Linked DNA regions of Rattus norvegicus. The protein of the gene in region 3 purifies or fractionates together with the protein of the main gene of each other region. This does not show direct contact. Links are inferred from orthologs where the notes say so. Each region holds a gene or a part of one and is shown on either strand. Other genes may lie near its edges.

Evidence for each region.
Region 1: the proteins of Dnajc7 (region 3) and Ift122 purify together in Homo sapiens (co-immunoprecipitation; 3 studies listed by BioGRID and IntAct, counting the BioPlex papers as one, with this or other methods). This does not show direct contact. The link is inferred for Rattus norvegicus from reciprocal best matches to the Homo sapiens genes DNAJC7 and IFT122.
Region 2: the proteins of Dnajc7 (region 3) and Bag5 purify together in Homo sapiens (affinity purification with mass spectrometry; 4 studies listed by BioGRID and IntAct, with this or other methods). This does not show direct contact. The link is inferred for Rattus norvegicus from reciprocal best matches to the Homo sapiens genes DNAJC7 and BAG5.
Region 4: the proteins of Dnajc7 (region 3) and Bag2 purify together in Homo sapiens (affinity purification with mass spectrometry; 7 studies listed by BioGRID and IntAct, with this or other methods). This does not show direct contact. The link is inferred for Rattus norvegicus from reciprocal best matches to the Homo sapiens genes DNAJC7 and BAG2.
Region 5: the proteins of Dnajc7 (region 3) and Bltp2 purify together in Homo sapiens (co-immunoprecipitation; 3 studies listed by BioGRID and IntAct, counting the BioPlex papers as one, with this or other methods). This does not show direct contact. The link is inferred for Rattus norvegicus from reciprocal best matches to the Homo sapiens genes DNAJC7 and BLTP2.
Region 6: the proteins of Dnajc7 (region 3) and Mlf2 purify together in Homo sapiens (affinity purification with mass spectrometry; 3 studies listed by BioGRID and IntAct, with this or other methods). This does not show direct contact. The link is inferred for Rattus norvegicus from reciprocal best matches to the Homo sapiens genes DNAJC7 and MLF2.
Region 7: the proteins of Dnajc7 (region 3) and Vps13c purify together in Homo sapiens (co-immunoprecipitation; 4 studies listed by BioGRID and IntAct, counting the BioPlex papers as one, with this or other methods). This does not show direct contact. The link is inferred for Rattus norvegicus from reciprocal best matches to the Homo sapiens genes DNAJC7 and VPS13C.

What each region holds. Positions count from the first base shown.
Region 1 is NC_086022.1:150,643,642-150,646,096, reverse strand, and holds part of Ift122 (intraflagellar transport protein 122 homolog), read right to left. Parts: intron 1,596-2,455; coding exon 1,430-1,595; intron 990-1,429; coding exon 878-989; intron 482-877; coding exon 356-481; intron 1-355. UniProt on the Homo sapiens protein: As a component of the IFT complex A (IFT-A), a complex required for retrograde ciliary transport and entry into cilia of G protein-coupled receptors (GPCRs), it is required in ciliogenesis and ciliary protein trafficking.
Region 2 is NC_086024.1:136,590,479-136,594,495, forward strand, and holds the start of Bag5 (BAG family molecular chaperone regulator 5), read right to left. Parts: upstream 2,801-4,017; 5' UTR 2,689-2,800; intron 2,247-2,688; exon of another isoform or gene 2,231-2,246; intron 1,047-2,230; 5' UTR 1,022-1,046; coding exon 1-1,021. Other genes in the region: Coa8 (cytochrome c oxidase assembly factor 8), read left to right, coding at 2,934-3,056. UniProt on the Homo sapiens protein: Co-chaperone for HSP/HSP70 proteins. It functions as a nucleotide-exchange factor promoting the release of ADP from HSP70, thereby activating HSP70-mediated protein refolding.
Region 3 is NC_086028.1:86,023,841-86,027,340, forward strand, and holds part of Dnajc7 (dnaJ homolog subfamily C member 7), read right to left. Parts: intron 3,429-3,500; coding exon 3,275-3,428; intron 2,904-3,274; coding exon 2,739-2,903; intron 2,017-2,738; coding exon 1,925-2,016; intron 1,803-1,924; exon of another isoform or gene 1,705-1,802; intron 1-1,704. UniProt on the Homo sapiens protein: Acts as a co-chaperone regulating the molecular chaperones HSP70 and HSP90 in folding of steroid receptors, such as the glucocorticoid receptor and the progesterone receptor.
Region 4 is NC_086027.1:43,473,838-43,477,985, forward strand, and holds the start of Bag2 (BAG family molecular chaperone regulator 2), read right to left. Parts: upstream 2,801-4,148; 5' UTR 2,781-2,800; coding exon 2,668-2,780; intron 1-2,667. UniProt on the Homo sapiens protein: Co-chaperone for HSP70 and HSC70 chaperone proteins. Acts as a nucleotide-exchange factor (NEF) promoting the release of ADP from the HSP70 and HSC70 proteins thereby triggering client/substrate protein release.
Region 5 is NC_086028.1:63,674,604-63,678,103, reverse strand, and holds part of Bltp2 (bridge-like lipid transfer protein family member 2), read right to left. Parts: intron 2,512-3,500; coding exon 2,412-2,511; intron 1,662-2,411; coding exon 1,479-1,661; intron 911-1,478; coding exon 789-910; intron 236-788; coding exon 80-235; intron 13-79; exon of another isoform or gene 1-12. UniProt on the Homo sapiens protein: Tube-forming lipid transport protein which binds to phosphatidylinositols and affects phosphatidylinositol-4,5-bisphosphate (PtdIns-4,5-P2) distribution.
Region 6 is NC_086022.1:159,425,165-159,429,198, forward strand, and holds the start of Mlf2 (myeloid leukemia factor 2), read left to right. Parts: upstream 1-1,234; 5' UTR 1,235-1,475; coding exon 1,476-1,525; intron 1,526-1,744; coding exon 1,745-1,871; intron 1,872-2,114; coding exon 2,115-2,150; intron 2,151-3,130; coding exon 3,131-3,184; intron 3,185-3,479; coding exon 3,480-3,608; intron 3,609-3,773; coding exon 3,774-3,933; intron 3,934-4,034.
Region 7 is NC_086026.1:77,477,999-77,481,498, reverse strand, and holds part of Vps13c (intermembrane lipid transfer protein VPS13C), read right to left. Parts: intron 2,665-3,500; coding exon 2,504-2,664; coding exon of another isoform or gene 2,492-2,503; exon of another isoform or gene 2,491-2,491; intron 1,449-2,490; coding exon 1,327-1,448; exon of another isoform or gene 1,323-1,326; intron 672-1,322; exon of another isoform or gene 617-671; coding exon 322-616; intron 1-321. UniProt on the Homo sapiens protein: Mediates the transfer of lipids between membranes at organelle contact sites. Necessary for proper mitochondrial function and maintenance of mitochondrial transmembrane potential.

The DNA.
Region 1 (2,455 bases), on a different chromosome or scaffold from region 3:
CCTCAGCCTGAGAACTGACTGCTGCCACTGCATGAAGAGCTACCTGAGGAGAAAGCTAGGGATTGCCCAAGTATATACAAGTATGTACTACAGCTCCCGCTTAGCTGTGGACCAGAAGCATGATCAGTGTCTTCAGAAGCAGGGTAGGGAGTCCTCACAGGAAGACGAAGGTGCCACTCTCCTTATCCTGCAAGCTCTGACCAGCTCTCTGCCCGCTTCTGATGTTGGTCCTCACTGTGTGGGGACCTCCCCAGCCTTTCTTGATCTTATCCTTTTGTCCCTCCTGCCACAGCCCATGCTGCCTCCTCTCCCAGCCCCTGGCCCTGGCCTGGCTGGAGCCAAGAGCATAGGATACTGTTGCTTGAGGTCTCCTGCCATTTGCCCTCCCTCTTGTGTCTTGGTGCCTCCAGATCAATGAGGGCAACAGCTTCTTCGTCAGTGATGCCCTCTTCCAGGTAGAATTCCACCAGGTGCAGCACCTCTGGGGGGACAGGGAGGGGCTGGGGATGGCTTCAGGAGAGCTTTGGGACTGTCACTCACACCAGGCAGTGTGTGAGCAAATAGAACAGCCAGAGCATGTCCCCTTTCCCAAGCAGCCTCTCTGCAGGCAAGGGGCACAGTGCATGTGAGAGGACCAGGTCCCCAGCAGCCCCTCTCCCCCACAGTGGCTGTTTTGAAAGAGGTAGGCCAGGACTGCTCCCTCAGCCTCTCAGACTGAACAATGGACCCAGCTTGTCATTATAATGAGAGTGGGACTTCTGGTTGGGACATGTTGGGCCTTGCCTCTGTGGATTCTGACAGCAATTCTGTATCTACGGCATGGTGGCATCACCTTCTGCACAATGCCCCATGTCTGTAAAGCAGTGGGAGGGCTCACCGTAGGAAGAGGCGGAGAAGATGAAGGGCTGGCGGCAGTTGATGCAGACATTGCCAAGGTTGTTCAACAGTGGGTTGTTGGTAGAACAGCGGTAGCACAAGGGAACCAGCTCCTATAAAACAAGAACACGTCTGCCCAGGCTGAAGTGGAAGTGTGCAGACCTCCCCTCCTCCCAGGGCCAAAGACTGCATGCTGTGGGGAGGCTGGCCAACTGAAGACTCCACCCAAGGCTCACTGCCCAGACACCTCCTCCTAGGCGGGCCTCAGCAGGATGCTGTCTTGACAGGAACAACTCTGTCCACTGTCAATTCCTGCCCCTCACCAGGTTCTAGGCACTGTGTTGGGTGCATCGTTTATGCTGCACTAGTACCTCCTACCACCTGTGGGGAAGGGTTTATACACACACCTGGTAGAGCAGGAAACTGAGGCACAGCTAGGAAGCATAGACCTGGGGTCTGAACCCAGTCTATCCCAGTACACTGGTAGGGGAGCCAAGAGCACAGCAGTCATCTTCCAACAGAACACAGACCAGGTTCAAAGACATGCCCTTACCTCACTGTCATGGAAGGGCTTGGAGCGGATGGTCAGGGTGCCCAGCTCAATGGACTTCTGGATCCTGGCAGGGATCTGCAGCCCCCGCAGCTTGTCATAGGCATGCCGGGCCAGCTTGTAAGCACCCAGAGCCTTGCTCTGCTTGGCCAATGTGAAGAGTGTATTCCTGCCATTGATAAGGTTAAGGACAAAAGGGGTGTGAACTGGAGCCCACACTATCCATCCCTGGGCTAGAAAGCATCTTGTGTAGGTAGTCACTTCTGTGTTTCTATTGGACAACACCAGGGGAGGCTCAGCACCCAACTTAACCAACCTGTAAATCAACACAACTTTTGGGACAAATTAGACTCAGGTACCAAGATAGCAGGGCTGAACCTGACCTGTCAGTGGAAGGGTTATCACAGTGAAGGCCATTTGTTTGGCCCTGAAGAGTAAATAATGAGTCTGGACCATTCAGGAAATGAGTTCTTAATGGTGAGTTGGGGTGCTTTTCTGGGACGGGTTCCTACATGAGGCAGGCAGGTGAGCCAGATGAGAAGAGGGAAATGAAATTACTTTCAAGCTTGTGAAATGTTGGGCTATTTCTCTTCTGTGCTTCTGATCCTTCTGTAGCTCTCGTTGGCAGAGGAGAAGTAGACTCCCAGGACTTGAAGTACCCCACATAGGAGCTGGGCTTGTCTACATCCACCTCATGAAGCCTCTATACACCCACCCTATCTATGGTCTTCTCTGCTGCCTTAGTCTGGAGCATGGAGTCCCCTCCTTTGGATAGCTGTCCCTGACTAGGCCCAGCCTTACCTTAGTGGAGTGTGGAGTCCCCTCCTTTGGATAGCTGTCCCTGACTAGGCCCAGCCTTACCTTAGTGGAGTGTGGAGTCCCCTCCTTTGGACAGCTGTCCCTGACTAGGCCCAGCCTTACCTTAGTGGAGTGTGGAGTCCCCTCCTTTGGATAGCTGTCCCTGACTAGGCCCAGCCTTACCTTAGTGGAGTGTGGAGTCCCCTCCTTTGGATAGCTGTCCCTGACTAG
Region 2 (4,017 bases), on a different chromosome or scaffold from region 3:
TCTGCACCTCAATCACTGCTCTTCTCCTGGCCTCTCTGATGCAGGGGTTTTTCTCCAGACTCACTTCGTCCAGCTGCCCGATCAAGCCCTGCAGCTCTGTCTTGGACCTCAGGTACAATTCAGGAGGGCTCTGTGCCTGGAGAAGTTCATTTTTCATTTCTCTCATCCTCTTGAGGACATTTTCTATCTTTATAATGGAATGGTTCTGTCCCAGGTCAAATGCATGTGTATTGTCAGCTTCCTCTTCTAAATCTAGATATTTTAGTAATTTGTTGATATCTTCCACCACCTCCCTCCGATAATTTCTGATCTCTGTACGCCCACACACATCTAGAGCATCTAAATCAGCCATCAGTCCTGACAGCACGCATGATAAGTGCCTGCAAGTCTCAGAACTGTCCACGCCCATCAGAAGTGCAATCAGAGTACCTCTGGCCTTGTTCACCTCACACATCACAGAATTGATCTTGGCGACAGAAGGATGCACATCCTCGGAAAGTGGCAGGGAAGGCTGTTTCCTCACACAGTCTTCAATAATCTCTTGTACCGCACAGATCTTGGTTAGTGTGTGGTACCTTGCTTTCCGCAAGGAGATCTTCCCTCCTGTTTTAACATGTGTCAGCCTCAGAATGATGTCCTGGATGGCTTCCTCAAACTCGCTAGTCACACAGTTGCTTCCACTGTAAAAGGGCACAGTCTTTTCTTTCACAAGGGCCTGAGCTTCTTGAAAGATATTCTTGATTTCAATCCGGTGTGGGTGGTTCGCGTTCTGCTCCAACTCTTTGAGAAGGCGTTCTGTGTCCTGTGCTGCCCTCTTCCTAGCTTGCTGGATGTCTCCTTTCCCTTCTGTATCCACAGAGTCGATTTCAAAAAGTTGTTTCGTCAGAATCCTCTCCAGTCTCTTGTAATTCTTGTCATCCGACAGGCCACTGAAGCCAACCACTTGCTGCTCTATACTCTTTACTTCCCGTTGGATCTCCTGAAGCCTACTAATAGAAGGGTGTTGGTTTCCCATATCCATACTTGTGTGTTCAGTTTCACAAGCACTGAAAGATAGCAAGAACGATAACTTATTAGTCTCTTAGGGTAATAACCCAATCCAAACACTCCTTTTTAGTACACTTTTTAAAAGGGCTCACTGGGGCTGTGGAGAGAGTTCTTAGTCAAGTGTCCAGGTTGCAACTCCAGAACACGTGCAAAAAAAAGCCAGGGAAGGGGCTGGAGAGAGGGCTCAGTGGTTAAGAGACTTGAATGCTTTCTAGAGGACCTGGGTTTGATTACCAGCACCCATATGACAACTCATGACCACCACTAATGGTAACTCCAGTTCCAGGGGATCTGATTTCCTTTCTGTACTCTACAGGCACGCATATGGTGCACAGACATCCATGCAGGCAAATGAAACACCAACACACATAAAATAAAACAGAAAGGCCAGGCAAGACGGTGCCCAGTTAAATTCCCAGGGCCGGGGAGGCAAAGACGGATGGAGCTCTGGGATTCACTGGCCAGCCAGCCAGCCTAACTGAGGGGCTCCAGGACAATGAGAAGCCTTGCCTCAAAAAACAAAACCAAAGGACACCACAGAAACGATGGCGGGTGGACAGGTCAAACTCTGGCAGCTGGGCATGCAGCAAACACACGGAGGGTTTTGTCAAAGGTTTAAAAGACACTTGAGGAAAAGGAAGATGTGACATGTCAACTGCCTCTTTGAACAGGTACAAAAAACAAACCAACCAAGCTGGTGAGCTGGTGTATGCCTACCATCCTAGCACCAGGGAGACAGAGGAAAGAGAATTACGAATTCAAGATCGCCAAGGACTACTTGGTGACACCAAGAATCAAAAGCAAAAAGAAAATAAGGGAACACGGCAGGGATTTTAAGAACAGACAGGAAGGTACTCATGGTCCAGCCTGGGTGGATGTCTAGGCCTATGAATTCTGTCTTAAACCATGAAAGCGAGCTGCATACACTTTCATATACTAGGTCAACCCACCGGGTTAGCAGCAACACAATCTCCTGAAATCCCACCAACCTAAGCTAGTCTTTGGAACCAGCAGGGTGCCCTTGTGGAAGTAGCTCTTCCAAACTGACAGGAGCAGCATTCGGACAGACAGCTAAACTTGCTACTTTTCAGAAAGTGGAACTAAGAAAACGTCCAAATCCTCGCCCTCGACTTCAAGTACCCGCCGCAAAAACCTGACGACTGCGATTAACTCGGTCACTCGCCTCCCCGTAAGTGTGCTTAGAGCATTTCCCACGCTCTCAGGTTTCTGTCAAACAGCTCACTTCTGGCGGGCAGGCCACAGAACTCAGTCCCTGGGGAGGGTCCAAGCCCGGCCTTCGCAGCGCTTTACTCCGAGAGGTCTGGGTGGCGGCGGTCTTGGCTGCCGCGGAGGGCGGCGAGGTGGGAGATCGGCCCTTCACGGGGAGCGGCACCGGAGCGGAGCCCCCAGCGTCATCCCCCTCGCCCTTCCCGGCTAGGTCTGACCCGGGCAGCCGGTGAAGGGGCCGGCGGAGGCGGCGGCAGCTACTGGCCGCGGCGGCCGCTCCCGGGTCTCGGCCGGGCCGGACGCGCCGCCACCTGACCTCACAATGGGCGCGCGGCGGGCGCTGGCCTGCGCAGCGAGGGTGGCCAAGTGCCCGACTCCGGAAGCTCGGAGGTCGCGCCCCCGCGCAGCGCTCACCTGTGCCGCACGCGCCATCGCGCTCCGCCACCTCCACTTCCGCAGCGTTGTCGCCGTCCTCGCACAGCGGGCCCCTCAGCTCCGAGCCCGGAGAAAACTCGCCTCCTCGTCCGTGCGGGCCCCGCAACCGGTCGTCCCTCTCAGGGAATGCGCAGGGTCGGCCTCGCCGCGCGTCGCCCCAGGCTTTGCGACGCTGCCGTAAAGCCAACCTTTCCACTGTCGCGATCCTGCCGTACGCGCGGGCCATGGCGGCTTTGCGGCCCGGAAGCAAAGCTCTTCGCCGGCTGCTCTGCCGGTCCTTCTCCGGCGGCGGCGTTCGGCTGGCCCGTGAGCGCGCTACGGAGCGCAGGGATGCTGCGTCCAGCCGGGTAAGCGGGACGCCGGGGCGCTGGCAGGGAGGGAAGCCGCTGAGCACCCCAACGACGCCCGCGTCTCTCCGGCAGGCTAATGATCCTTGTAGCGGATCCGCTGTGGAGAGTGCGAATCTTGTTTATTCTACCAAGTTAAATACCATTTGTATCAACACAGCTCTTGAAGTGTGTTTTCTCACTTCCGCTTCGTTAAGACTAGTGTTCGGTTTAAAGCGGTGGCCGACTTCATCATCTCACTTGTGTAGACTTCGCATTGTTTGTAAATATGCACGTGATGTCAGAGATCAACAGTGCTTGTCTGCAGCAGGAAAGGACGTGAAGCCTTTTTAAAAATCAGTTCCGGGGCTGGAGATGGCCCAGCAGTTAAGAGCACTAACTGCTCTTCCAGAGGTCCTGAGTTCAATTACCAGCAACCACAAGGTGGCTCACAACCATCTGTAATGAGATCCATACCCTCTTCTGATGTGTCTGAAGACAGTGACAGTGTATTCCCATATATAAAAAATAAATAAATCTTTTTTTTATTAAATCAGTTGCACTTCTTTGCGACAGGATGTTCTGTTTAAGGAAGGCCTAGGTTTTGAGTCTATCCGTCAGATGAAAACATTAATCAGTGGCTACTAACACTTCACCTGCCACTAGGCTAGTGATAGAGACTGGAGAGCTTCGATTAAGCAATAATTAAGAGAGGGAATGAGGGGCTGGAGAGACGGCTCAGAGGTTAAGAGCACTGACTGCTCTTCCAGAGGTCCTGAGTTCAATTCCCAGCAACCACATGGTGGCTCACAACCATCTGTAAAGAGATCCGATGCCCTCTTCTGGTGTGTCTGAAGACAGCTACAGTGTACTTATATATAATAAATGAATACATCTTTAAAAAAGAGAGAGAGAGAGGGAATGAGGGAGGGGAAGAGAGAAACAGAGAAAATTAAGAATTGCAAAATGTGCCTGCTGTGGA
Region 3 (3,500 bases):
ACAGCAAGCCCAATTTATAGAGTGCTAGCGACCACAACTGTGCATGCTAGGCAAGCACTCTACCGATTTCCATTCTCTTCTGTGGGGTAAGGAGCAGGGAGATAGTAAACCCAGGGCCTGAAACATGTATAGTAGGGTCTACACAACTAAGCTATCCCTCCAGCCCAAGCTTCCATTCCTGTGTGACAGTAGGTATGATTCTGGAATGAATAAGGGTTAGCCTCTCAGAATTGATAATGCAATTCATCTATGTTTTCACTGGACAGACTTAGTCATTCACTTAATTTTATTAAAAAAAAATCACGTATACTGGCAGCTTTTATATCTCAATGGTGATGATCTGAGGGGCTCTATACCACTGACCAGGGATTTTTTGGCTCAAGCATTAGTAAGTAGTGTTTGTCCTCTGGACTTTATGGTTTATAGTTAGGAATAAAATTGGCATTGGAAAAAATGACACCCAAGAACTTCCTTTCCCTTAAGGACCTTTAAAACCAGTACTACTGCCCCAGGCTGAGATTGGGGGTAGGGGAGAGATAGGGTTGGGAAGGTAGCTTGGCGTGTATAGCGCTTTCCTAGTGTGTATAAAAACACATTAAAGCTGTATTGATGCTGGCCTCCAATCCTAGCACTTGGAAGAGGTGGAGACAGGAGGATCACAAGTTCAATGTCATCTTCACTATACACATAGAAAGTCTGAGGCCAGCTTAGCCACTTGTAAGAAAAGGAAACAACAACAGAATTGAAACCAGGAAGTTCTTTGCTTAGAGAGCAGGAGGAAATGAAATGACTTTTTTTTGTCCACTGTGCCAGGTGTTAAACCAGAGCCATGGTGTGTACATGTTTCTGTGGGAACGCAGGCTCACACTGAGCAAGGAACACATAATGAAGGCAGGAGGACTACAGTGAATGTTGGTCTCACCTTCCACTTTGAGACGGGGCCTCTTTTTTACACTGTATATATAATATGCCAGGCCAGCTGGCCTGTGAGCTGCTGGGGACTCTCCTAGGTCTCTCTCCATTTCACTGTAGGGCACCATGATTATAGACCCCAGACCTTATGTGGGCTCAGGAGATTTGATCTCAGGTCCCCACTGAGCTGGTATCTCCCCACCAGTTCAGAATGGTTTGGAATTCATTCTACAGCCCACACTGGTCTTGTACTAACGACGCTGACTCTTTTGCCATCTCACAAGTGCTAGAGTTGCAGGCTATGCCACCACACCTAGGCCAGAAGACATGATCTGAGAGGTGCATTCTGGCCCTCGTACTGTTCTGTCTGAAGAAGACTCTCTGGAAGACGGGTTAAAGAGCATAGTGAGCAAAGAGGCTGGGGAGCATCTGGGGAAATACGGCAGGCACATTCCTTTCCACAGAGCCCACTGGGCTCGGAATACTCAGCATGAACTATTTATCTTGGGCCTAACTAACAGCGGTTTTTATACAGCTGCACCGCTGAGCCAAGTGAAATTGCTTTCAACCGTACTTTCCCTGCTCATGACAAACAGCAGGTACACCTCAGGAAGACTTCCTTCTTTCCTCTTCTAAGCACCATAAGTCCATTCAACAAAACACTTACTGAGTGAGCCAAGCACTGTGCCAAGTTAGAGCAGAAGTGAACAACACAAAATAAAATCTCAAAGGAAATGGATTCACATGTTAATGAAAGGAATTTGGGTCAGGCATCAGAGGAAACTTACTGACCGTGAGGGGCGTTAGACAGGCATGGGAGACTGAGGGAGCGTGTGCAATCTCCTCCGCTGGAGGTCTATAAAGATAGTCTAGGACTGGAACAATCCCACCTAGAGGCAGGGGGAAGGACCAAATGACCTCACAACATCCCTGGGTCTGTTTTGTTAATCCAACGCAATTCCCCTAGTTAACCAGTGGCAACCCCGTCCCCCCAGCCCTCCAGAGCACTCACCACTGAGCTCTTCTCAAGTAGGCTTTGACGTAAGTGTCATCAAGCTTCACTGCATTTGTACAGTCTTCTATGGCGTCTTCTAGTTTCTTAAGCTTCAGGAGAAAGAAAGAGGGAGGGAGCACAATCACACTTCGTGTCGCCACTGACAATATGAACATGGCTAGATCCCTGTCCTACTGTGTTCTTGGTCTTGGTCCCTGGGAAAGTCAGAGGGCTAAAGACAACAAATTTCAAACTGGTTTCTTTACTATGAGATAAAGGCCACGCCATTACTGATTAAAGTGCCTCTAGTGTGCCATGTTAGTGTCTAACCAAAACAACAAACAGAAGGGTGGTCCCTGCCCTCTACTCTTCACGGCATAAGTACAAAGACCAGAAAGACTAAAATTTCTACCTACTAGAATTCTATAGAACCTAATCTCTCTTATGGTGCAACAGGGCCACAGGAAGACTACAGTTATTCTCAGCTACCCGTATTCAGCCATTTATCAAAGCCTAATTAACACTGTTAATTTCCTCTGTCTCTTTGCTGAAGAATAAACAAATTCTTGCTCAAATGAGAAGAGACAATACTTATTCAAATGGCACAGACCTGCTAGTTGCTCTCTCTCACAAGAGCAAAAAGACAACTGGGAAAGAACAGGAGGGAATGGTCAGCCAAGCTGACTCTTAAGTTCTCAACACCACACACAAAAAGGCAGGTTTGTTTCTTAGAAGGCAGTTCCTTACAGGACGAGGGGCACTGTTCTTTTGTCCAACTTACTCTGGCTGAGCAGATCTCTGAACACCTCTGACCCCCAGATCAAGTGCTTACCTTGGAATTAACCGTACCCCGATTACAGTAGAGTTTAGCATTTGTTTTTATGTTGTTGGGATCTATCCCCAAGGCTTCTGTGTACAGTTCATATGCTAGCTTGTAATTCCCTTCCTTAAAGGCTTTATTCCCATCTTCTTTCTTGGCTTTAAGGGCTTTGGCATTCTGGAGAAGAGCAAGGGGTGGTCAATTCAGTCCACATAGCCTCAGGTCACTCTTTCTCACCGTTTTTTCTCTCTCACCTCCAGCTGTCTGCTACGACACAGCCCCTTGCATGCATGGCCCCCTCAGGGAAGTTTCAACAAACTGGCAAGTGGAGCTGTCACATTCCCACAGGTCTCACTTCTTCAACTCTAGCTAGCTCTTTACTCCCTTCTCCTCCCACTTTGAGAGCAGGGATGGAACCTAGGGCCCCAGGCATGACAGTGTGACACCTCCTCACCTCACTGAGCTACAGCCCTAGTCTCACTCATAAGATATGAGAGGAAGTTTTATCCCCACTTTCAGATTCTCAGAACACAAGGCTTAGAACTTACTCTACAAGCAAGACAAGCCTTCTCGTGGTCAGGAGCCATCCTGAGAGCCTGTACAAAAAACTGCACTGCCTTCTCAATACAGTCTTCATAATAAAGGCAAAGACCCCGGACATACAGAGCATCAGCATTGGTGGAATCCATTCGTAAAATGTCACTGTAACAAAGAGACCAACACCTTCAGCTGTGGTGCACAATGTCTTGACCATTCCCACCATCTGGGATCAAA
Region 4 (4,148 bases), on a different chromosome or scaffold from region 3:
TCCTTCCCACCAAGTCCCATCACAGCCCATCGTTCTCACTGCTAAAAGATAATAACGCCCTCCTCCCTCGGGGGTTTTATAAGATTCAAATGACAGTGTGCACGAAAAGCGTTCCTTCTAAATTACAGACTGTTAACGACAAATTAAATATGGTGTCAACTTGCTTTGTGGGTCCTGGAACACTGGCACATGCTAACAGGAACCTTAAACAGTCAGAAACCAAAGCAGGGGGTGGCCCGTTTCCCTGGCCCCTGCTGGCTGAGTGAACTGGGAAGGAGCTGCTCACCACATGATCGGTTTTGGGAGATGTGTAAGCAGCCGATCTCCCAGTCCTACCAACCATTATACCTCCTTGGCCAATGTCCAAAGCCCAGCCCCTGACCCACAGCTCCTAGAAGCTACTCAATAACAGACATGCTCCAGGTCTTCAATGTTTACTGACTCAAACGCTAAATTGATTTTCTTCTCTTTTAGTAAAATCATATTCATTCATAGGTCAGACGGACAGTTTGAAAAGTGATATTCAAGACCAGGACACATGGTGTTGACCTGAGCAGCCGGTCTTCCCGTGTTCACATGTGAAGTGCTCTGCTCTGGACTGAAGCATGTTGTGTATATCTGAGCTTCAACTTCTCATCTGCGCAATACAGATAACGGTAACTCCCCCAGAGACACGAGGCCTAGCCTACAGACTGATGCTAACATGGATGATTTATAAACTAGGATAACCACTAAAGAGTAAGGCGTTCGGCCTCGACAAGCGCAGAATCCCCATAGAGCTGGTCATGTAAATCAGGAAAGGACGGGATTATCTTTTTAGAGAAAGCACTGCAGGAGAGGAGGCGTAGTAATAAAATATTGTTTTAATGTAAGATGGTGTCGTTAATATCATAAGCCATTAGAAACAAACGGCATCTGTTACCGATTTATAAAACATTTTAAAGCATTTCGGACACCCCCCGAGGTCAGTTCATCCTGCAGGACATAAAGCCTTTGATGTGGTTTCAGTCCACAGAACCAGTTCAACTGAATGGAAGATGCACACTGGCTACCAACCAATGACTTACACTACCCCATCCACTGCTTTTCCCACACATGGGCACTAAGAAAGTTGGAGGGACGTCACAGGAGCGTCATCTTTCTCTACCCATGTTTGAAAAGCCTAATTTTAAAGTGTCCTGCTCTGTGACACTGTCCAGGTGGCTTCTAAAAAGGGCCCCCAAACCTTAAAAGGCAGCATCATCCCTCCCCCCATTTCTTTCACCTTCTGACAAACTTACTTCTAAGTGCGCATCACATTTTTAAAGAGAAACAAGACTTACAGAAATCTGCGCTTACTGGTAAAGGCCTTGAACCACTAAACACACAGTAAGAAACCCCCTTCAGCGCAACTGTTAATAAGTAACATAATTTAATCTCCTATGGGCCGGGAATTGAGATTCCTTTGACGTAGTCAGACATTAGAATGTAACACTAAGCAACCCCCAGACTTTCAAGAGGCCCCCAGGAGGAGAGGAGGGACTCAGCACATGGCCGGCAGGGATTAACTCAAGTTTCTGAACAATGACTCAGCTTGAGGAAGAGTGACAACTTCCTGAACCCTTCAAGGAAAAAAAAAATCGGAGCAGTTGAGAATGTACTGTCAAAGTTCGGAGCCTACCTCACAGAGGGAAACACTCCTCTCTTTTCAGAGGGGCTTTAATGCTGACCCCCTCCCTTCTCAGCATAGGTCCCTTTGTCTCCCTCCGGTTTGGGGGACATAGGGTTCAGGCTTCTCTTGTGGTTGCTACTCCAGAGACTAAAAGTTTCTCACCTTCTGGTTCTTTTCTCCTAATAGTAAAAATAGCGAACACCTCAATTGTAACAAACACTGCTTGTATTTTTCTGTGCAAACATACTGTGTTTGGTGGATGCACGGAGAGAGATGAAGACGCACAAGACTCTTAAGATTTTGGCTCATATTTCTGCTTATGCAGAACCTGGAGAAAACTAGGGAACAACATGTGTCAGGGTGTCTCCATACGATTTTCATGGAACAGCGCCTGCACACAATCAAAACTTGCACAACTTTGGAGACCTTAACGTTCCCACCAGATACACCGGGGCTCATGTTGCTAAAGCCAAGTATTCACAGCATCTGCTAGTAGTATTCACGATTTAGAAATTTTACTACAAGGCCGTCCCCGTGATAGAATCTCAGGGAGAGTGTGACGCCTGCCTTTGGTGTTTTCAGACCTGCGACTGGCACTTCCCAAGTGTCAGCTGTGTCTTCTAAACGCACAACATACACGGACAGACTGCAGAGGGCACTGCACGTGGTTAAGAGAAGGAAGGATGGTATCCAACTTCGGTATCTCGCGCGGCCCCTTTTGAGTCTGATTCTCGCTGGTCCCCCGGAGGGGCAGTCCTGGGTTTTTTCTTTTTTAAAACTTACTCTTGTGTTACTATGAAGTGATCTGGGGCAAAGAAACTTATTACAGGGGAGGGGGGAAGGACCACACCAACCTGCTGCCTGCCCCCTGGAAGCGGGAAAGTTAAAGGCAGAGGGGGACCGCGCCGAAGGATCTGGAAGTTCTGCAAGCCGCACTGGCTCGCCGCGCTGCCGGCCGGGGGAGGGGAGCCCACCCGGAGCGCGCCCCCGCCCGCGCGCGCCCCCGCCGCCCTCACCTGAGCTCCAGCTGGTCCAGGCTCTCCAGCAGGCGGCTGGAGCGGTCGGCCATGGAGGACGAGCGGCAGAAGCGGCCCTCGTGGGCCTTGGCGCTGATCTTCGCCTGGGCCATGAGCTCCGGGGGTCCTCGGCGTCCGCGGGTAGCAGTGGCGCGGGCCGCACGTCGCCGTCACCGCAGGCGCCGCTGACGCGGACGGCACCGCCCCCACCTCCCAGGCTCCCCACCCCCGAGGCCGCGCGGCCAAACAAGGGCAGGCGCGGGCGCAGCCGCCCGCACGCCTGGGTGGGGGACCCTGCCCCGGGGCGCCGAGGGCCCACGCCGTTCCTCCCAGCACCCACGATTCACAGCAAGGACGTAGTGGGTGCTGCCCGTGACGTGGGGAGAGCCGGAGACAATTCAGGACGCCCTAAAGGGCAGTCTCTACTTGCCCGACCTGTCGGGTGACCAGGCGGGCTCCGGAGAGTCCAGGGAAAGCCTGGACCACAGGCTCCAAATAAGGAGAAGCCAAGTGCATCTGTGTTGTCTTGCCTTTCCAATGAAAGGATTATTACTTTCACACATAACTTGTTTAAATCCTCTGCGAATGATATTCGGTAGGCTCATGTGTCAGAAGCTGTAGAGGTCAGCAGGGCTGAAGTACAAAGCCGCGTCCACTTAAAGTCGTGTTTTGCTCTCTCAATGCACAGGATACAGAAATGCACAGGGAAACAAAGTTCATTTACTTCCTTCACTCAGAACTCAAAGCCATTAGATCACTGAACAGAGACAAGCCCCTTAAGTACGACTGGCTTCTAGTCCCACCCCTCCACCCCCCACCCCATCCTTATCCTGAACTCATCTTAATACTAATGAGCGGTGGATTATCTTGGCTTCATTAAACACGGTCATCTCACGACACGACCGAGAAATCTGAACATTTTGTGGACGTCTTGGAAGTCTGAGCTTGGGCAAGTCTCAGGTCTAATGCTCCGCTGGAGGCTGAGACAGAGTTGTGTGAATTAGGCCAGAGTGAATTCAAGGCTAGGCTGGGAAGCTTCAGCAAGCGCCTGTGTCAAAAGAAAAATAAAAGGGGCTGCAGACACAGCTCTGCGGTAGAGTGTCTGCCTCTGTGCTAGGTTGGCAACTAAGCCAGGCAGATGTGGTTGTTTGAATTCCCCCTCCCTGTACTCTCTGTCCTCATCACCAGGGAGGACTTAGGTGAGGCCTCGCTGGAGGAAGTGTATCCCTATGGGCAGGTTTGAAAAGATTCAAGCTATTCCTAGTGTCTCTCTGCCTCGACTTGGGTTTGAGATGTGAGTGCTCAGGGCATCTCTGTGGCCATTATAGACTCAGACCCTCTGTATCTAAGTTCAATTAAATGCTTTATTTTACAGGTTGCCTTGGTCATGATGTTTTATCACAGCAGGAGGAAAGTAACTAAAGTAACAAGCATCTTCAAATATGTTTGCTTTAATGTGTCACAAGTTGAGCATGCATCAG
Region 5 (3,500 bases), about 22 Mb from region 3:
ATAAAAAAGAGAGAGAGAGATCTCTGTGTCTATCATAGGAGACTAAGAGATCTGTCCTCAGTTTACCCAGGATGACTACCTTCATGATCGAGTACATCTGCTTCTCTAGGTGCCGTATCTGGGCCACATGCTGCCGCACAGCCTCCTGCAGGTGTAATATGCTGCTGCGCTGCTCCTCAGGATTGCTGGAGATCTCGAGCTGGAATCTGACGCGCTGTTTCTTTTCACTATGCTCCTAAAAAAGGGAAGAGGGAAACGTGTACTTTTGTGTGGCGCTGTGAATAAAACCCACAGCTTCACGCAGGCTAGGCTCAGTACAGGCTTTACCAGCCCCTGAATTAACGTTTCTTAATATGTTTTGTAGAAAAGTGAATGGTGCTCTCTCTCTTCTGGAAAGCTGGCCTTTACCGGTCGTGATCAGTAGCAAGAGTAAGGTGTAGGTCAGTATAAAAGATCTGCAATGTGGATGATTTCATAAGCTGGGCTCACAGGGTAGAGATGGAGGCAGATATGTGTAGTCACCACTGTCAGAAATGTTTAGTAACTGAGTAGAGACCTGGCTAGAACAAGCTATACAGTCTTAGAGATACTCAAACATTAACAATATGAATTCCAATAGCTGTAATTACCAATCATAAGTCCCCCTTTCAGGGTGAGGTATTAGTTTCTTCCTTATCCACTGAACCATCTCACCAGCCCATCATTACTTTACTTAACTGGATCGAAGAAAACGACAAGATCAAGGTTCAGGTGAGCCTAACTTGAATTCTAGAAGGGCTCATGCTCACCTTCCGCTTGGGTTCTACATGGAGAAGCAGGTTGTTGACAATGTCCAGAATCATAGCATACTGAGCTGGGTTGGTAGAAATTTCCAATTCATGGTGGATAAGAGTAAAAGTATCCACAGCCCCTGAAAAATTATAAGCAGTCAGTTAAATAACAGGTTCACGTTTCTCCCTATATAGTCACCCTCCTAACCCATATTTTGTTTTGTTTTTTGAGACAGGGTTTCGCTACGTAGTCCTGGCTGGCCTCTACCTTGCTCCACTTGCCTCTGCCTTCTGGGTGTGGAGATTAAAGTTCTGCGCCACCATACCCACCCTAAAGAATATTTGGAACTGGGGTTGGGGATTTAGCTCAGTGGTAGAGTGCTTGCCTAGCAAGCGCAAGGCCCTGAGTTCGGTCCCCAGCTCCGAAAAAAAGAAGAAAAAAAAAAAAGAATATTTGGAACCACTCATGTTGGTCATTCCAACACAAAGGGAAGAAGAGGCACCCGGGAATAGAAATATGTTTCTTTCAGAATAGAATCCCAAGTAACCACTGTCCCAACTTCCTCTAAGAGTACAGGTTGTTCTAATGGTTGGACTTACAAAATGCAGAGCCAAGTAAATGTTATTACCAACAGCTTACAGGAATCCCTTTGTCTACTCTCTTAAAACCACTAAAGAAATAACTACTTTCAGAAATGCCTTGGATACCTTCCTGCTTCTTTAAGAGATCCTCCTTTTCCTGGTTCTCATGAACTTCAGGTGGCTTAATCTGAGTTGCTAGCTCAGGGTCAATGTCGTGGCTGTAGCTGATATAGTACATCCGACAATTACAACGTGAAATGATCCGCTGCACTTGCTGGGCTTGCTGGGCTTCAGCTGGCTGGTTCCAATCTGGGAAGAAGTGAACAAGAGGACAAAGAGATTCTTCACAAAAGGTGTAATAAGAACTCCCATCTCAATATTATGTCTAAGGAATTCCAAAAATGTTTCCAGTCAAGACTGACAAAAAAATATTACTTCAACATACACTGAGGCTAAGAATAAGTAGATAAGCTGAGGCTGAGAGGTGGCTCAATGGCTGGAAGCATGGGCTGCTTTTCCAGAGGACCCAGGGTTTAGTTTCTAGTCCCCACATGGCAGCTCAGAACTGTCTGTAAATACAGTTCCAGGGGATCCGATACCCTCACACAGACACACACATATATATATATATATATCCCCAATGCACATAAATCATTAAAACAAACAAACAAAAAACAGAAAAATTAGGGCCAGGTGTGGTAACATATTCTATGAGTTCTAGACCAGCTTAATATTCATGAAAGTGAGGACAGGCAGGGCTACATAATGAGACTCCGTCTCAGACAGACAGACAGATAGATAATCTGGAAGAGAAAGACAGATGATAGACAGGGCTGGGTTTGCAAATCAAAGGTAAAAATCCCCGAGTTTGATCTCTAGTACTCTCAAAAATAAAATAAAAGCCATATGGTAGCTCCTGCCTAAACTCATGAGTCTGAGGACAGCCTGGCCTACACAGACTGAGAGGAAAAGAAAGGAAAAATGCAGAAGGTAGATTAGATAAGAAGATGAGGTCCCTTTGGGATGCACATTTACTCTGGGAGAGGGAAGAGAGCTGACCTGTGGTTGTGGTAACCATGCCTCCCACTGCCTGCCCACTTTCCATCAGCTCCTGAACAGAGTCCAGACTACGTTCCCGGTGCTCTTCAATATTCTTCACCTGCAAACACATTGAGGGACCTTTAGCTCCTGGGAAAAGGTAGCTTATTCTACCACCACCTTAGATGGCCGTGTTTCCAATAGAGTCACGTGCTGCAAAAGAATGCTTCAGTCAATGACAGATTGCAGGTCCAACAATAGTCCCATACCTGTAATACCAGCAAGAGGCTGTGAGGCAGGAATAACATCATAGATTTGAGGCCATCCTGGACTATATATAGTTCTATGACAGTCTAGAGTACATAGTTGAGACTCTCACAAATATAAAACAAAAGGTTGTATCACCTAATGATAATGTGATCATTTTAGTTCATTTAAAAATCACCTAATAACATTTTTTGAGAGTTTTCCACCTTGCTTTGATCTCTCAAGTGCTAGGGTTATAAGCATGAGCCACAATGCCTAGCTGGTATGTTCTTTGTGTTTTTGCCATTTTGTATCTTCACACAGAACTACTGTGAACCCAGGCATAGTGGCTAACACATGTAATCTAGCAGCCGGGATCAGAGGAAGACAGGTCTGTGGGCTTCCTGGACTCTGAGGTCAGACTAGTTTATCTATCAAGTGCTAAACAACTAATACTACACAGTGAGACCTCAAGAAAGTACAGCCAGGGGCCAAGATGGCTCAGTAGGTAAAATGCTTGCTGAACAAGTCTGATAACCTAAGCTCAACCCTGAACTCACAATACAGGGGAAAAGGATGGGCCGGGAGAGACGGCTCAGCAGTAAGGAGCATTTGCTGTTTTACCAGTGTTTGGTTTCCAGCACCAACATTAGTGACCGCCTGTAATTCTAGTTCTAGGGATCTGATACCCTGGACACCCTCTCTTCTGGTGTCAGAGGGTATGCAGCTGATATACAGACATTTAGGCACTCGCATACATATAAAAAAGTGGGAGAACTGACTCTACAAAACTATCTTTTAACCTCTAAAAACAACAGATCTCTCTCACACATACTTAACAGGTCCTGAGTTTAAATCCTCAGC
Region 6 (4,034 bases), on a different chromosome or scaffold from region 3:
AAGTTTTAAAGACGTAAGAGCTAGAGAAATGGGACTGGAATGTAACTTAGTGGTAGGACATGTGCTTGGCAAACCCGAAGCCCTCAGTTGGATCCTGAGCACTAAAGCCAAAACTAAAAAGCCGACAACAAAAAGCAAACATCAGAACTAACGCTTTTGCCCAGGCCAACCCTTCACAGACAGGTCTTGGAGTGGTCCAGAAGCCTAAGCCAACCCGGTGTCCTAAGGCAGTAAAGATCCAGCCTGGCCCAGGAGCGCTCTCTGGCGGCCAAACTCCCAACATCCCTTCCCTGGTTGGCCTTTTCCAAGGCTGAACTAGACCTGAGCTAAATTGTCACCTCCTCCTCTGCGTCACTCGGAGGACCCCGCCCGCCGGAGCGTCTCTCCAGAGGGACAGGCCCCCGCGCTCCCCTGGTTAAGCGCCCCTCCTGCACTGAGTTTAAAGGTCCCCGCAGGGATCCGCCCCACCGGTCGCCCCCAGACAGACCGCCTCCCCCCTCCCGCAAAGAAGGTGCGGCACACCCTGCCCCCGTCGCGCTCAACCAGTCCCTCCCGATTCCGCTCCGCCCTCCCCCACCTTTGCAGGAGCCTCTTCCTGTCCCCAGATCCCCGTGCCAGCTTAACGAGACCTCCCACCGGCCCCAGAGGACCCGCCCTCCGGGGCTCCGCCGCGAGCCCGCCGCCCCCTCCCATGCAGGTGGGTGGAGCTCCCGTGGCCCGCCCCCAAGACTGTCCGTCATGACGTCACTTCCGCTCGGGCCTGACCGAGGTTCGGCTCCTCGGGCCGAGGGCGGGGGTACGGAGGTGGCAGCTGAAGGCAGGAGGCGGTGCGGGAGGCGAGAAGCTCCCGCGCGGACCAATCCCTGCGTCCCGGGCCGAGACCCTGCTCCTGCAGCGCCCCGAGGAGAGGCCGGCCGGATGGGCCGCTGAGCCCGAGTCGGGGACCGGTGAGGCCAGGGCGGCGCGGCCCGCACGGTTGCAGGGATGCGAGCCCGGGAGTGGACCTCCCTCTCCGGCTCGCCCGGCGGGAGGCACGGGTTGGGGCAGCGGCGGACCGGCTCGGTGGGCAGTGAGGCCCGCCCGGAGAGGCCTGGTAGCGGCCCGTGCCAGCAGAAGGCGGAGTAGTTGGGGTCATTAATGGGGTGGCGGGCCGCCGTTCGAGATTCTCATCGAGACTGGCGTCGGAGGAGGAGCTGACCGTGGCTCGGGGAAGAGGATGGCGGGCGGGGGTGGAGGGGCAACACTAAGAAGCTTGGGGAAAATTCCGTGACCGGCTTGGAGAGCTACTCGCTCTCAAAACTAGAAGGTTATGTGGTCCACCTGCCGAAGGGTCTCTCTGGAGTTTGGATGGGTCATTGATAGTGTGTGCAAGAGACAGCTTTAAGAGTAGCTACACTGAGCTGGTGTGCATAAGCCTGCATGAAACTCAGCCTCCGTATCTTCACAGTGTGGAGCCCCCTGGAGCTGAGATCAGGATGTTCCGCTTCATGAGGGACGTGGAGCCTGAGGATCCCATGTTCCTGATGTGAGAATTCCCTCCCCCCTCGTGCACTCATCCCACTCTAATTCAGGTCTGAGCAGTTCAGACAGACCTCTGGGTTCCCGTGTCTGGAACCGGATAGAATTTAGCTGCAGCTCTCAGACGGGAGTTGGTCTCCTGCCACTGCGCACCCTGACTTATTTGGGGGGAGGTGAAGAAGGCTGGGGTTTAATCTGCCGTCTGTATTGTATGCTCACTCCACAGGGACCCCTTTGCAATTCACCGTCAGCATATGAGCCGCATGTTGTCAGGTGGCTTTGGATATAGCCCCTTCCTAAGCATCACAGATGGTAACATGCCAGCAACCAGGCCTGCCAGCCGCAGGATGCAGGTAACAGTTGGAACATACCGAGACCCAGGGTGACTAGTTAAGTATGCTGCCATTCTGGTCCTACAACCAGCTTTAAAAGGACATGATCTGTGTGGGAGGCAGAGGAGTGGGGATAGAGAATCTGGGAAAGGGGGCTTTGACTCCCGAGGAGAGAAGGATGGGGTTGGGGGATGGAGGCACTGGCCACGTTTGGTATAGTAAGGTCGTAGGATGTAGTTCTAACTTCTGTTCCTTATCTTGTAGGCTGGGGCTGTCTCTCCCTTTGGGATGTTGGGAATGGTGAGTTCTTGTCTTCTCTGTTCCCCTCGAGCTCGCTCTCTCTCTCTCTCTCTCTCTCTCCTGTGTCTCTGTCTGTCTCTCTCTTCTGGCTCTTTGTGTCTCTGTCTCTCTCTTTCTCTGACACACAGATACACACAGACCTTAGATGTTATTTTCAGATGTGCCACTTTGGTGACAATGTTAGTCTAGGGGTGGTCTCAAAATCTTCTCTGGATAGTTGACATAGTTTAGAGCCCATTGAATATAAATCATGGAGCTAGGGCTAGAGAAATGGCTCCAGGGTTAAGAGCACCTGGCTGTTCTTCCAGACAACCAGGGTTTGGTTCCCAGCACCCACATGACAGCTCACAACTGTCTGTCTGTAGTCTCCAGGCATCTGATGCCATCTTCTGTTCCCTACCGTGCATTGCATGAATGGAGGGAACACATACATGCAGACAGAACACTCATTCATAGAAAAATATAAATAAAGTGCTCAAATACTCCTGATAGCTGGAAGTTCTTATCCACTGGGGAAAGTAAGATTGTATAGCAGTTCTTTTGAGGAGGGAGACTTTGGGACACTTTTACAACTCTAGATATTCAGAGGGTTTTTTGGTCGATGTCTTGGATTTTGGTTTTTTGAGACAAGGTTTCTTTATAACAGCCCTGGGTCTCCTGGAACTCACTCTGTAGACCAGGCTGGCCACAAGTCATCTGTGCTTGCCTCTGCCTCCCAGTGTTGGATTAAAGGCAAACCGTCAACATTTAGCATGTTCAGAGGAGCTAACTCACTGCTTTTGGGTCACTTCCTTAAAGATAGGGAAATGCACAGGTAGGAGAAGCATCAGAACAGCCACAGACCCGAGAAGGTGGCCAGCAGCTTATGGGGAGGAGCATGAGTGTTCTGGCTACATTTAAGAAGGAAAGCGGGTCTGTCCTCAGGTGAGTGACAGGCCCACAACCGCTGACCCATCTTCCTGACCCTCTCCTTTCCTCAGTCCGGCGGCTTCATGGACATGTTTGGGATGATGAACGACATGATTGGGAACATGGTATGACTTGCTCCAGTCTTCCCCGGCCTTGATCTCGGTGGCAGCCAACATGGCGGGAGGGGGTGAGGTGATGTGCTAGTGAAGAGGCTGGGTTGGACTGAGCTGAGCCAGAGCACCGGGGTCCTGTGTGTGTTCTTATACCCCTGAGCGATCACATGTGTTAGTGTTGGGCTAGGGAGTTGGGCAGTTGTGATGCCCATTCTCCTTGTGTAGTTAAGAAAGCTGAGGCAAGAGCAGTCAGCTGGAGGGAGCTCCCTTCTGCAAAGTAGGCCCTCCTCATTCAGTCTCTCCTCAGGAGCACATGGCCGCCGGAGGCAACTGCCAGACCTTCTCTTCCTCCACGGTCATCTCCTACTCCAACACTGGGGATGGTGCCCCCAAGGTTTACCAGGAGACATCTGAGATGCGCTCTGCCCCAGGCGGGGTGAGTAAGGAACTCCCCTATCTCAGAGGAGGTAGGACTGATTGGCACACACAGGAACCAGGGACGTCTTTTTTCAGGAATGGGTCGTGGGTGGTGTGTTCATCCAGGGTGATGTAGCCAGGGCTTTGTGGGGACAATTGCATGTGTCTGGTCCCTTTGTCCCAGATCCGGGAGACACGGAGGACTGTCCGGGACTCAGACAGTGGCCTAGAGCAGATGTCCATTGGGCATCACATTCGGGATAGGGCCCACATCCTCCAGCGCTCCCGAAACCACCGCACGGGCGACCAGGAGGAGCGGCAGGACTACATCAACCTGGACGAAAGTGAGTGAGCCAGCCACTCAGCCAGCCTGCCTGCCTGCCTGCCTGCCTGCCTGCCTGCCTGCCTGCCTGCCTGCCTGCCTTCCTTCCTTCCTTCCTTCCTT
Region 7 (3,500 bases), on a different chromosome or scaffold from region 3:
AAGAAAAGGGGAAGCTGAACTGCTAAGGCGTAAATCCCAGCTTTACCACTGTCTATCAGACCTGGATCAGACCCTTGATCCGTTTATGACTCGGTAGCAAGGGCCAAAGGACTGAACCCACTACCAAAGCCTCTGTGAGGACTGAAGCATGCTAATACAGAAAACACACAGTATGAGGCCTAACCACTGATGCTGCGCCAGGTTAGCTATAATGAACACATCTTAGAAACATGAAACACCAACTTACACTAACACCATAGAACAATGCGAATTTACACTGCGTAATAATAGCAATAATAATACCAAATGCAGGACACATACCTCAAGTAAGTATCTTATCGAATACGGGAGAAGGTTCCGCAAGGTGAGAGGAGGGTAAAGATGAATAATGTAGGCTGGATCCCAGTCTTCCCCGTGGGCACCGATGTAGCTCAGCTCATCGGGCAGGGCAACCGTGTTCACGATGAGCGGTAAGAAGTTGACTTCTACTGCAGGGCACTGCAACATGCACCTGACCTCCCTGCTACGGTGAAGCTCCTCTTTCCAGGAAATGTACGTGGTGGACTGTGTGTACTGCTGCTCTAAGCTGCCAGCCGGCTGAACATACAACTGGCATCTACAGGCAGAAGGCATGGAAGAGAACCTCAGACTCTTCACGATCTCTCTATAAGGTGGGTTCCGATATTCTTACAAACATAGAAACCACTGATAAGAAAGTTTAGAATATGCACCAAGCAACAAAGCTACTGACAGAGGAAGGACAACTTGAAATAGTTTCATTTTAACTATAAAGGCAAGCTAATAAAATATATACTCTTAGAAAATTACAAAGTATCAAATACCAGATGAAGAAATTATATTGTAAATTCAATGATAACATGTATTTCTGATCAAAAGAATAAATTTTATATGTCCTAAAAATGGCTGTGGTATGATTAGAACAATAAAAATGCAAGGCTACTCTCCCTAAACTAGAGATACAATTCATAAAACTAAGAATACACGAGTTTGTTTCCTTTCTGTAACTAACAACCCACATTCATTGTACAGATTCACAGGACTCACTATAGTGTCTCCACACACAGCATGCTGACGTGTGCACTCACACTCTGGACTCGACCCCAGCACCCTCTAAGACCCTAAAAATCCTTAAGCTCCTTAGCAGCGCCGCCCATCCATACCAGCTCTGCCGACCTGCAGCCCATTTGGAAGCTAAGCACATGCACAGGCGTGCACACATGCACAGGCGTGCACACATGCACAGGCGTGCACACATGCACAGGCGTGCACACATGCACAGGCGTGCACACACACAGGCATGCGCACCTGTAGGAATCCAAAGGCACATGGAACTCTTCCTCGGGTTTCACTATCCCAATGCGCTCCAGCAGCTTAACATTCTTGACAAATTTGTAGATGATGAATGCTATTGAGAAGTGGTTTTTAATCTGTTGGCATAGATATATAACTTTTAAAATTATACATTAGCTGAATAGAAAGCATTAGTAGCACACACATTTATTTTAGATCTGAGAAGTTTCAACTTAATATTGGAAGTTATTCTCATTGGCTACCAACAATATTTAGGTATCTAAGCATTACCTATAAACACTATGATTAAGTGTCGTTCAATGTTTAAGTGACAGTTCCAAATCGGCATTGCCACATCATCTACATATGACATGTGTATACAGTTAGTATATGCCACCACTGAAGATGTACCACTCATGAAGATTTCAGCCATGTTTTCTCCATTACAACCTCCCTTTAACACACCGTGTGACAAAGAAACCAGAAAAGCCATGGAAATCTTTCCCTGTCTGCGCTGGGCTCTGTGCTGCAGCTAAAAACAACTTAAAAAGGGTTCCAAATCGTAGATGAGTCCCAATCTGTATGCACGAGTTAGGTGGGGAGAAGTGTTCCTTACACCAACACATACTGAAGCCTGGAGTTAATGCTGGAAACACTAAAAGGTTTAGTATAACCAGAAGAGCAGAAAGAAAAACGTTTATATAGATTAAACTGCCTTTCTCTTTCTTTTTTTACATGAGGTCATTCTAAACATCTTACATACATCAGAAAAAAATATGGCCTCAAGTGATGGTATACTAAGAGCGTGTGGCTATCCTACTTGACAATCATCCATTATCATAGCGTCTAAGTTTGAAATTTCCAAAGAAACATAATAATGTTTAGATGTTTAAATGTTTCAAATCTCTGAAGAAAAATACTAAATGCTTATGGGTTTGTGGCCAGAAAAACTGGTCTTACATAGGTAAGTACATACATACATACATACATACATACATACATACATACACACACACCTGCTTTTCAAGCCATGTAAGATAAACCACACTAACAGAATGGGGTAGTAGCAGACTCTGCTTCACTTTGGCATTTATTTCTGAATAATGAGTTGCTTACTGCACATCCCAGTCTCAGCTAAATGACTGAATTCTGCCTGGCATTCCCAAGGGGACACATTACCTTATAGCATTACCTGCAGAGGAGAGCGGAGAGTGACCACCTTATTGCCTTCTGTAGCGTCAATTTGTACCAACACAGAATCTGAACGGCTGGCACTGGGATTCCGTACATTATACAATCTCCGACCAGGCCTGGCAACAGGAACACTAGCCACTTCTGTATAGCCATGTGGTACTGAAGAGGAAGAGAATTAGATATATCTATGTTTTAATAATAACCAATCCTGACCTGGAGAAATGGCTCAGCAGTTAAAGGTACATGTGTTCTTGTTGAGGACCTGGGTTTGATTCCCAGCACCCATATGGTAGCTCACAACCATCTGTAATACCAGTGATAGAGGATCCAAGGTCCTCTTCTGGTCTCCAAGGATACTAGGTATGCATGGTTCACAGACATACATGCATGAAAAACATCATAAAATAAATAACTTAAAATAGTTACTCCTCACAGTAATAACAAGGGTATGTTTTCTCATTACTAGAAATATGTTTTTCTAAGATTCTGAGATAAAAAAAAGAAAAACAATTACTAATATAAAACTTTTGCTACAAGCAATGAGGAGGTAAGTGTGCTAAAACAAATAGAAAAGATCATCCTGAGAGAGGTAACACAGACCCAAAAAGTCAAACATGGTGTGTACGCAAATGTAAGCGGATATTAGTCATAAAGTACAGGATAACCTTGCCATAAACCACAGATCCACAAAAGCTCAGTAACAAGGAGGGCCCAAGTGGGGATGCTTGAATCTCCCTGAGAAGGGGAAATAGAACAGACCCTGGATATGGATGGGGGAGGGGTGGGAATGGGAACAGGAGGGATAAGGTGGGTGGGGCAGTAAGGGAGTGAATACTGGGAGAGACAACAGACTGGTAGGGGCAGAGATGGTGGGAAGCATCTCCAGAATGAGCTAGAAACTTAGGACAATGGAAACTCCCAGGGAATCTATGAGAGTGGCCCTAGCTAAGACTCCTAGCAATGGGGGATGTGCAGCCATCTCCTGTAACCAGGCA